Linked DNA regions of Canis lupus familiaris. The protein of the gene in region 2 binds, or shares a complex with, the protein of the main gene of each other region. Links are inferred from orthologs where the notes say so. Each region holds a gene or a part of one and is shown on either strand. Other genes may lie near its edges.

Region 1 (3,648 bases), on a different chromosome or scaffold from region 2:
TTCTCCCTGAACAACAGGCCAGAGCGGCCTCTTCGACCCTCACACCCCACCATTGCTTAGATGTGCTCACTCCTGAGTGACCACGGCTTTGGCGAAAATGGCAAAGGCACACTCTGGACATTGGGGAATGAGAGCCCCTACATGGGTATTCGATTGCTGCCAAGGTCCAGGATGAAGAACATGTGGGCTCGGAGCTCCGTAGCTAATAAAAGGCAGTACCCAGGTGGCCTGGTGAGTTCCACAGTGTACAACAAATGGCTGAGAGTGACACAAAAACATGAATGTTTGGAATAGATGGGCCTAAATCCCAGCCTCTCCTCTCAGTATCTGTGGCCTCAGCAAGCCACTTAACCTCCATAGGCCTGTGTTAGCATCTATAAGATGGTCATAATAATGCTAACTTCATAGGATTGTGATGGCAGCTTATGGCTTTTTGTTTTGTTTTGTTTTGTTTTTAGCTTATGGGCTTTTACATCAGAGGTTAACAGTACCGGTTAGGAGTTAGCAGACACAAATCAAAACCTTGCTTTGCCTCTTACAATGGCCTTGGGCAAACTCTCCCGAGCTCAGTTTTCTCATCTGTGGGTATATTAATTCAGCCTCCCTTGAAGATCATGGTGAGGAGAGTGGAGGACTGTGTCAATTGCTTAGCACCTCACCCGTGACAGCAAGCACTCGAAGGGGCCAGCTAGCATTATGTTGGCATCTTAGAACTTACGCATTTTCTTGGGCCGCCTCTTCAGCCTTTGAGACCTTCCTGTAGCAATATATCATCTCAATGAGCAGCCACAAGGTGAGGAAGACCAGCAGGATGTACATCATGATCTCTGAGACCACAGAGGTGAAGTCCTCTCCAGCTGCAAGGGGGACAATGAGGCTTAGAATGTGCATGTCCAACAAACCCAGAGCTGTCACTGGGTCAGAGATATATGAGACCTATTTTTAAGAATGGCTTAATGGCTTAAGTAAGTACTGGTTCTAAGGAACTCAAGAAGGCTTCAGAGTGATTTAATATCCTCTGATGCTCCTGTCTGTCAGCTTTCTCACCAACTTTCTTCTGGGGTGGGGGTTGAGGAGGAATGAGGAGTGGAAGAAATAATAGAGCAGTGGAAGCAATCTTGGAACGGCCTGAGATATAAGAGCTGCGTCCCTATTTTGTGTGAATCATCATTGCCCTTATTTGAGACCATTTGCCTAAAATGTAAGGCAAGGGTAAAACCGTTCACACCATTGCATTACCTGGCGTGTTCAAGAATATCTTGTGAGATGTGAAGGTCCACACAGATGTGGGGAGCGTATCCCGTCCAACCACCTGTGTCCTCTGAGCTTAGGGTGGCAGAGGGAGAGAGGGTGGGACACATGTGTGGGGCCAGTACGGTCAGCCTGCCCGTGGTCTGGGCGTGCTCTCTCCACGTCTGGATGGGAAACAGGGTCCTTCCCAGCCCACTTTTCTGCTAGGTCATCCCAAAACCAAACAGAAATGAGAACTGGAGCATTCCATGTATTAAGCAGACTTTCTGAAATACAAACCTGATCCTGCCATTTTCATGCTTAAAACCCTCCATGTTCCATGCTGCCCTCAGGAGAAAGACCAAACTCTGTTAACAGGGCATGTGGGACCATTCACAGTCCGGCTCTTTTCTCCTCATTTCTGCTTGATGCACCAGCAAAACGTCACTTCTCATATACACTGTGGTCTTTGGGGATCTGTGGACTTTTCTTCACCCTCTTTCCCCTTCCTCATTTCCCCTTCTGTGACTGGACTCCCTCTGCTACCTCTGTCCCCATATCCTCTCCTGCTTTTCCATCCCCTGACCATTCTTCCCAGTGCCACCAAAGTCCCCCGCTCTGTGAAACCTGCCTCAGCCTCTCCTCTGAGCACTTTTTCTCATCCGTCCGTTGTTATTGTGATGTGTTTCTCTCTCTTCTCTAGTGAGTGTTTGCTTATTAAGAACACATTTTACATATTTCTGAATTATCCACCTGTCGTTTCATCCCGGCGTGTCTGAAGTACTCAATAAGTATTTGTTGAATGAATGAATATAAATAAATATCGATCTTTGTTTCACGGCCAACCCAAATGACAATTAAAATATGATATATGGCAAATTGTCCTGATACATCTTCCTTTCTCATGGGAAAGAAGATTGCAGCCACATATTCTGTTGCTAACTCCTACCAGTGAATTAGATTCATGCTCCTCGGTTATTCATAGGCCCCGGTCATCCATAAGGCCTCGCTCATTAAAAGCACAGAATAGCTCCTACCATGACCCTCAGCTCTGAGAAGCAGTCCAAAGACTCCAGGATCACCCACGTTTCCTGGATGCTGGACCTCCTGAGGCTAGAGGTCATAGATGGAGCTTGAGGCACAGAAGAACACCATGCACATCAAATGCCTTTTTGTGGGCTCGACATTACCTGATTTGTGATGCATTCATCTCAAGGAACATGCTTTTTAAATGCAATAGCCTGGAAGTAGTAACACAGGAAGAAGCCATCCATGCTCAGTATTTTTAGTCACTTCTAGGTGAAGAGATCTCAGATTTTTGTCTTAGAGCCAGGAGGTCAGAGCTTAGGGCAGGATAAGTTCATCTTGAACAAAGAGAACCAGAGAGATTCTGGGAGAACATAGGAATGGAGGAAATGTAGTGGGGTGTGTCAAGGTGGAGCGTGTGGCTCTGAGCCTCATGAGAGCAGTGAATGTGGGTGGCGGTGTTCTCAGGCTGCCATGGGGTCACAAAGGAAAAGGAAAAGGAAAAGGAAAAGGAAAAGGAAAAGGAAGGAAGGAAGGAAGGAAGGAAGGAAGGAAGGAAGGAAGGAAGGAAGGAAAAAAGTCATGAAACGAAGGAGAAGAAAAAAAGAGTAGCAAGGAGTGGGATGGTAGTAGAAGGAAAAAGAGTCAATGGACAGAGAGGTAGCCTGGTGGGCGAAAAATCTGGCTTGTAGTCCTGCACCTGGTGCTAATTTGCTTCATGTCCCTAGGCAAGCCCCTCACTGATCTCCCCACCACAAAATGAGAGGCACCAGAGCCGCACCCTCCAAGCAATCACCTGGGGAGTCATTTCTATGACATAAGCCAGACCTCACTCCAACTGCCAAAATCACACATACCCACAGGAGTGCAGAGATGTCTACACTGAAGGAAAGCCCCCTGGGCGATTCTGACTCCTGCTCTTTGTTCAGAACACCTGGATGAAATGAGAGCCAAGCTTCCCTCCAGCCCTACCATCCCGAGAGGCTCTGTGGTTCTGATGACAGACTTGTTTTCCTCCTATTCTGGCCCAAGCCTTGCTCTGGTGCCCAGCAGGCGGCCTGGTTCAGCTTCGCCACCCTTTCCACTGGAGGCAAAAGCCTGAGAGAGCAGCGGGTGAGACAGGCACCTTCCCAGGGTCCGGCGGGCACAGCCAAGTTCCCGGTGGTGAGCAGTAGAGGGCGCCGGCTTCTCTTCCCCGGGGAGAAGAGGTGTGTAAACAGAGAGGATAATGGAACTTCTGAACAGAAAAATACCTTAGAGAGCTTCCAGTCCAACCCATTCCAGGTACACAAGAGGAGATGTGCTCAGAGGGGGAAGACAGCTCATCAGGCCTAAATGCCAGTGGTCCAAGGGTGCTTCTGCTCGTTCAGAATTGACCTACTCGTTTTAGTC
Region 2 (4,414 bases):
AATGAATGAACAAATATATGGAAATCATGATCTCAGTTGGGCCAAGAGATACATACACACCAGGTGAAAAACATCCCTAGAAGCCCTTGGATGAAATTCTCTCTTCAGCCTTAAAGTTTTCTTCCTTCAGCATTGCAGAAGGGATGACTTCCTTGCCTGGCCTTGATCAGCTCACCCTAATAGAAGAGAAAGGGGCCAACTCAGGGAGAAATGAGATCTGTACAAGTTCATATGACGGTGAGTGACTACATTGCTAATAGCTAGTAATGGGAGGGACTTATACATACCCTCTCACAACTGATAAAACTGATACTGGTTAGTGAAAATAGTAGGACCAGAGTCCCAGAAATCAAGAACATCGCTTTTACACTAATGCTTCCACCATAAGCTTTCAAGAGAATCTACGATGCTAGGTTTAGGGTTGTTAGTCAGTTTCTGGGCACCCCTGTTGTGGTACAGATCCTACCATAATGAGAACCTAGGGCTGAGGTCTATCAGGCTACTCCTTCCCTAAATAAGGTGTTGAGTAAATACTGCTGTTTCATTCCCAGAGTGCTTTAAAGCTGTATTCATCCTACTGGGGCAAAATTCATGGGAGTGTATATCAACTGCCCTACCAGAGCCTCTCCCACAGGAGGCTGTGAGACAGAATGCCCAGTTCTTAGGTGTTTGGCTCTACCTTCTGCTCTTTAGTGGAGGATGATAGGCAGCAGCAGGTCCTGGGACCTGCATATGTCATCTGGGGTCTCTAGATCTCTTTTCTGGAGCCTACATCTAATTTCAGGTTTTTCTCCTATGGTTTTCAAACACATCAAGGGGGAAAGAAGGCGCTCACAGTACCTCTTCTGAGTCCAGGATTATAATAAATCCCAGAAGTTAAGAGTAGAATATTGTATACCTAAACTTTTATTTCTCCTATATTAATTAATTAATGAGCCAAATAAATTCACCAATATCTAATATACTTGCATCCCAAGGAAGTAAGACCACATACCAAAAATAAAATTTAGAGCTAAAAAGAGGAAGAGGATAGGGCATATTTTGAGAATATTTAAAATTATTTACATGTGTTAACCATGGCACATGAGGATGCAATCTCACAGGCTAGAATATTCTTTAAACTATACAGGTGGCAAGAGATCAGAACCTGGATTTGAATATTTTTTCCTTTAGTGCATTGTAGTGAGGTTGTCGAAGCCCCTTTCATTTTTATATAGACATAAAATGAGAATAGTAAAGTGGATAAAAACACAAAACAATTCCTTATACAAGCAACAGTTACACGTGATATATTCACAACATCCTTCATGTAATCTGTTATTCAGTCCTCACCAGGATATGTAAGTTTTTGATGTGTCACTTACAAATTAGAAGAATAAAGCTTAATCTAACATGAAATAATTAATTTCATTTCTAAAAAATGAAAATTTATTTTTATCATTCTAAATCTCAATGTCTTCATTGGATTTTCAGCTCATTATTGATTAGCCTAGTAACCTCAACAAATTACCTACAGGCCTTATCTTCTTCACTTGTAAAATTAGTGGCTGGGTTGTAGAAACTTTAATTAGGGCTGGAAAATAGCAGGTATTATGCACAGGACTCTGTTTATTATAGGGCCGAGATTCCTTCTATTTTGCTATAAACTACTCTCCTAAACAATAGCCAGGAATAAAAGTATCCACAAAAATACTACCCATACTCATTACAAGAGAATTTTCTGACCAATATCCAAATTTGAGTCCATCATTTCCATTAATAAAGGGAGCATATCAGTGTGTCATTCTACATATTTTTTATCACTTGTCCTACTTTGACCAATATCCTAAGTATTGTAGTCAACATATAACCAGAGTCACAATGAACACATCATCACTTCTAGAAGATAACTTCCAGAACATATGCAGTTCACAGGCTAACCAAGATAACAATAAAAACAAACCTGTTGATCCAAACAATACCAAAATGCCCAGCCGTTTAAACTGCACACCATTTCCCATCACATCTATGCCTCTGATTTTTTTGTTTTTATTTTTTTAATCTATGCCTCTAATTTTATACTGTTGATTCACATATGAAAAGCATCGATCTTAAAATTACTAAGTTACTTAAGAGACAAGATTCCTTCAAAGTATATTCCATCTTGCTGTGTAAGCTTTTATTCTCTCTCTTCTATCATTGTGTCATGTAACTAGAAGTCGTTGCCATATAGGATTTCTAGAAATTTTTCACTAACAGAGCCTCTTGGCTTCAGAAGCTTACCTGGTGGGATGAGAAAACTGACCACAGACACAGCACATAGTAAACATCTGCAGACCAACGCTGCTTTCGAAGTAGCTCTCTTAATTCAGGTCCAGAATCTTAAATCTACTGCTAAAGACCCTAAGGGTGTGTATGGGGTGGGGCAGGCTGGGGGTGGGTGGGAAAGGCTGGCAGCAGATGGCGGCTATCACCATCCTGGGGCTGGGCACACAGCAAGAAGAGGCACTTACTTGCGACCATGTGACAGGTCTCCAACAGCACCTGGGGAAGGAACCCTGAGAAGCACAACTCCCTGGAGCCCTTTTCTCCTCCTGGGCTTCTTTTTCTTCCCGGATCTCTCTGGCTTCCTGAGTTCTGGTTGCTTAGGAGGTGTTGCTAGGCTGGCGTCTGCCCTCACCAGCTGATGCTACAGGCCACGACGGCTCGGCGGTGAATGGGCCCCCACTGAATTCCCAGCTAGAAACCGGGTCTTTGGGGTGGCTGCCCAGCCACTGACCCGCAGACCCCTCCTGGCCAGACGCGCAGTGGAGCCGCGCCTGCCGCCTTGATGCTGTTTTTGTGTCCTCCCTCCTCCCTCCCATCCCCCAGCCACGCCACCCTCTCCCCCGCCCTCATCCCCAGGCCGGTGCGCGACTTCGCCTTCCAGACCGGGCGTGGGCGGGGTGATGGAGACGGAGCCTGCCTAGGCCTGAACTGCAGCTGCAGCGCGTCTCCTCCACAGCTGCCCCAGGAGGGCGGAGGCCAGAGGAGAGGGAGCGGAGAGTTCTTCGAGAGCTTGAAAAGATGGAGAGAAGTGGAAGGGGATGCAGCTAAGGGTTCTGGAAGGCTGGGAATAGGAGGGAGATGGGGGAGAGGAAGAGAGGAAGGCAGCAAACTCATGTCTTAACCTCTAGTCGCGTTCTCTATCCTCTTGCATAGCTGCCCCAGTAGAGCTTGTCAGGGGGCAATTGTCAGCCTGCAGTTTTCAGACCTGAACATCACTTAGGGATGTGTGTGTGTGGGGGTGGCCTGTTAAGGAAGGAATGGGCTGGAGCTACTACAACCTCATTCTAGATTTCTTTCCCACTCTGGTGATTTGAGGTACAAAGAGGAAAAATCATGCATATTTGGAAAAACTGGTGTGCAGCAATGAAGTTTGGGGGTGAAGGGAAGAGATGTTGGACCTTCTTTCCCAAAGGGAGTTTGGAAACTGTTACATCATAGAATGTTCACTTATAACTCTATCTTGTTTGCAAATGGTGATGTTTCTTTAAAAAAAGACAAAAACAAAAACTATTTCTACAACACACCAGGAAAAAATAACAAAAATGAGGAAAAGGGAAAAGAAACCATGTATATTTATGAGAGGCTTTAAGTTTATATTCCAAAGTGTGAGAAAGAAGTGTAAAGTGGAACTAAACACACACTGGTTCTCTGCATACCATGTCAGATACTGCATGTTTCATCCATGATTCACAGAAAAGGCCTTGTTACATGTATTTTGTTTGTTTAAATTAACACTTGTTATGAAAGACTTCAAACATATACAAAAATACAAAGAAGGTTTAATAAACTCCAATGTACTCATCACTCTGCTTCAGTCACACTGCCTCAACTATTGTCAACACATAGCCAATCTAGTTTTATCTATGCTTGCCCTCACACCTTGGATTAGCTTAAAAGTAGTCCAGACAACATAATATTTTATCCAAAATTATATTAACATAAGTCTCTGCATAAGCACTTTAAAAATACAACCCCCTCCATACAACCCAGTACCATTATCATACCTAATAATTAACAATTACTTCATAGTGTCAAACATCCACTTGATATCTTTTTAACAAACAATGTATGGATTATCATCTCTTCTTTCCCACACTTTGTGATGGCAGTACAAGTGAATGTTCTAGTGCACAGAACTCTCCTTTGGGGCAATCCAACTTATCTATCCCTTTTCACCCAGAAAAATCTATGCATCTTTCAGTATATTAAAACATAAGAACATTTAACAAATTTAATATTAAATATTTTAAAGCTTAAATAATATACTTGACATAAACTTCTTTGTGTAATGTGTAGTGAAGAGGCAACTAATCCCAAGACACTATGCAAACCAATAATAGAAATAAGAGACAAACAGAAGGGAAAACAATGATGTTGGACTCATCTT

Evidence for each region. The genes of interacting proteins can lie anywhere in the genome.
Region 1: the proteins of SCN7A (region 2) and SCN3B are in contact, whole or in part, in a cryo-EM structure (PDB 7TJ9), measured with the Homo sapiens proteins. The link is inferred for Canis lupus familiaris from reciprocal best matches to the Homo sapiens genes SCN7A and SCN3B. Residues at the interface, in NP_002967.2 of Homo sapiens: Arg269, Glu293, Tyr296, Leu298, Glu299, Leu305, Gln315, Cys316, Pro317, Glu318, Gly319, Tyr320, Asn922, Ile923, Thr926, Cys927, Lys929, Ile930, Phe939, Ile956, Tyr957, Asp959, Gln960, Ile966, Tyr970, Met973, Ile974, Tyr977, Ile978, Leu981; in NP_001035241.1 of Homo sapiens: Val25, Cys26, Val27, Glu28, Val29, Arg44, Ile46, Lys50, Arg51, Glu52, Glu53, Val54, Asn95, Gly96, Ser97, Asp99, Gln101, Asp102, Phe126, Phe128, Ala130, His131, Pro133, Val135, Thr154, Ser155, Ser158, Glu159, Met162, Leu165.

The regions. Positions count from the first base shown.
Region 1 is NC_049226.1:10,827,913-10,831,560, reverse strand, and holds part of SCN3B (sodium channel subunit beta-3), read right to left. Parts: intron 858-3,648; coding exon 719-857; intron 1-718. UniProt on the Homo sapiens protein: Regulatory subunit of multiple voltage-gated sodium (Nav) channels directly mediating the depolarization of excitable membranes.
Region 2 is NC_049257.1:11,861,915-11,866,328, forward strand, and holds the start of SCN7A (sodium channel protein type 7 subunit alpha), read right to left. Parts: upstream 2,828-4,414; 5' UTR 2,503-2,827; coding exon 2,493-2,502; intron 2,393-2,492; exon of another isoform or gene 2,263-2,392; intron 1-2,262. UniProt on the Homo sapiens protein: Sodium leak channel functioning as an osmosensor regulating sodium ion levels in various tissues and organs. While most sodium channels are voltage-gated, SCN7A is not and lets sodium flow through membrane along its concentration gradient.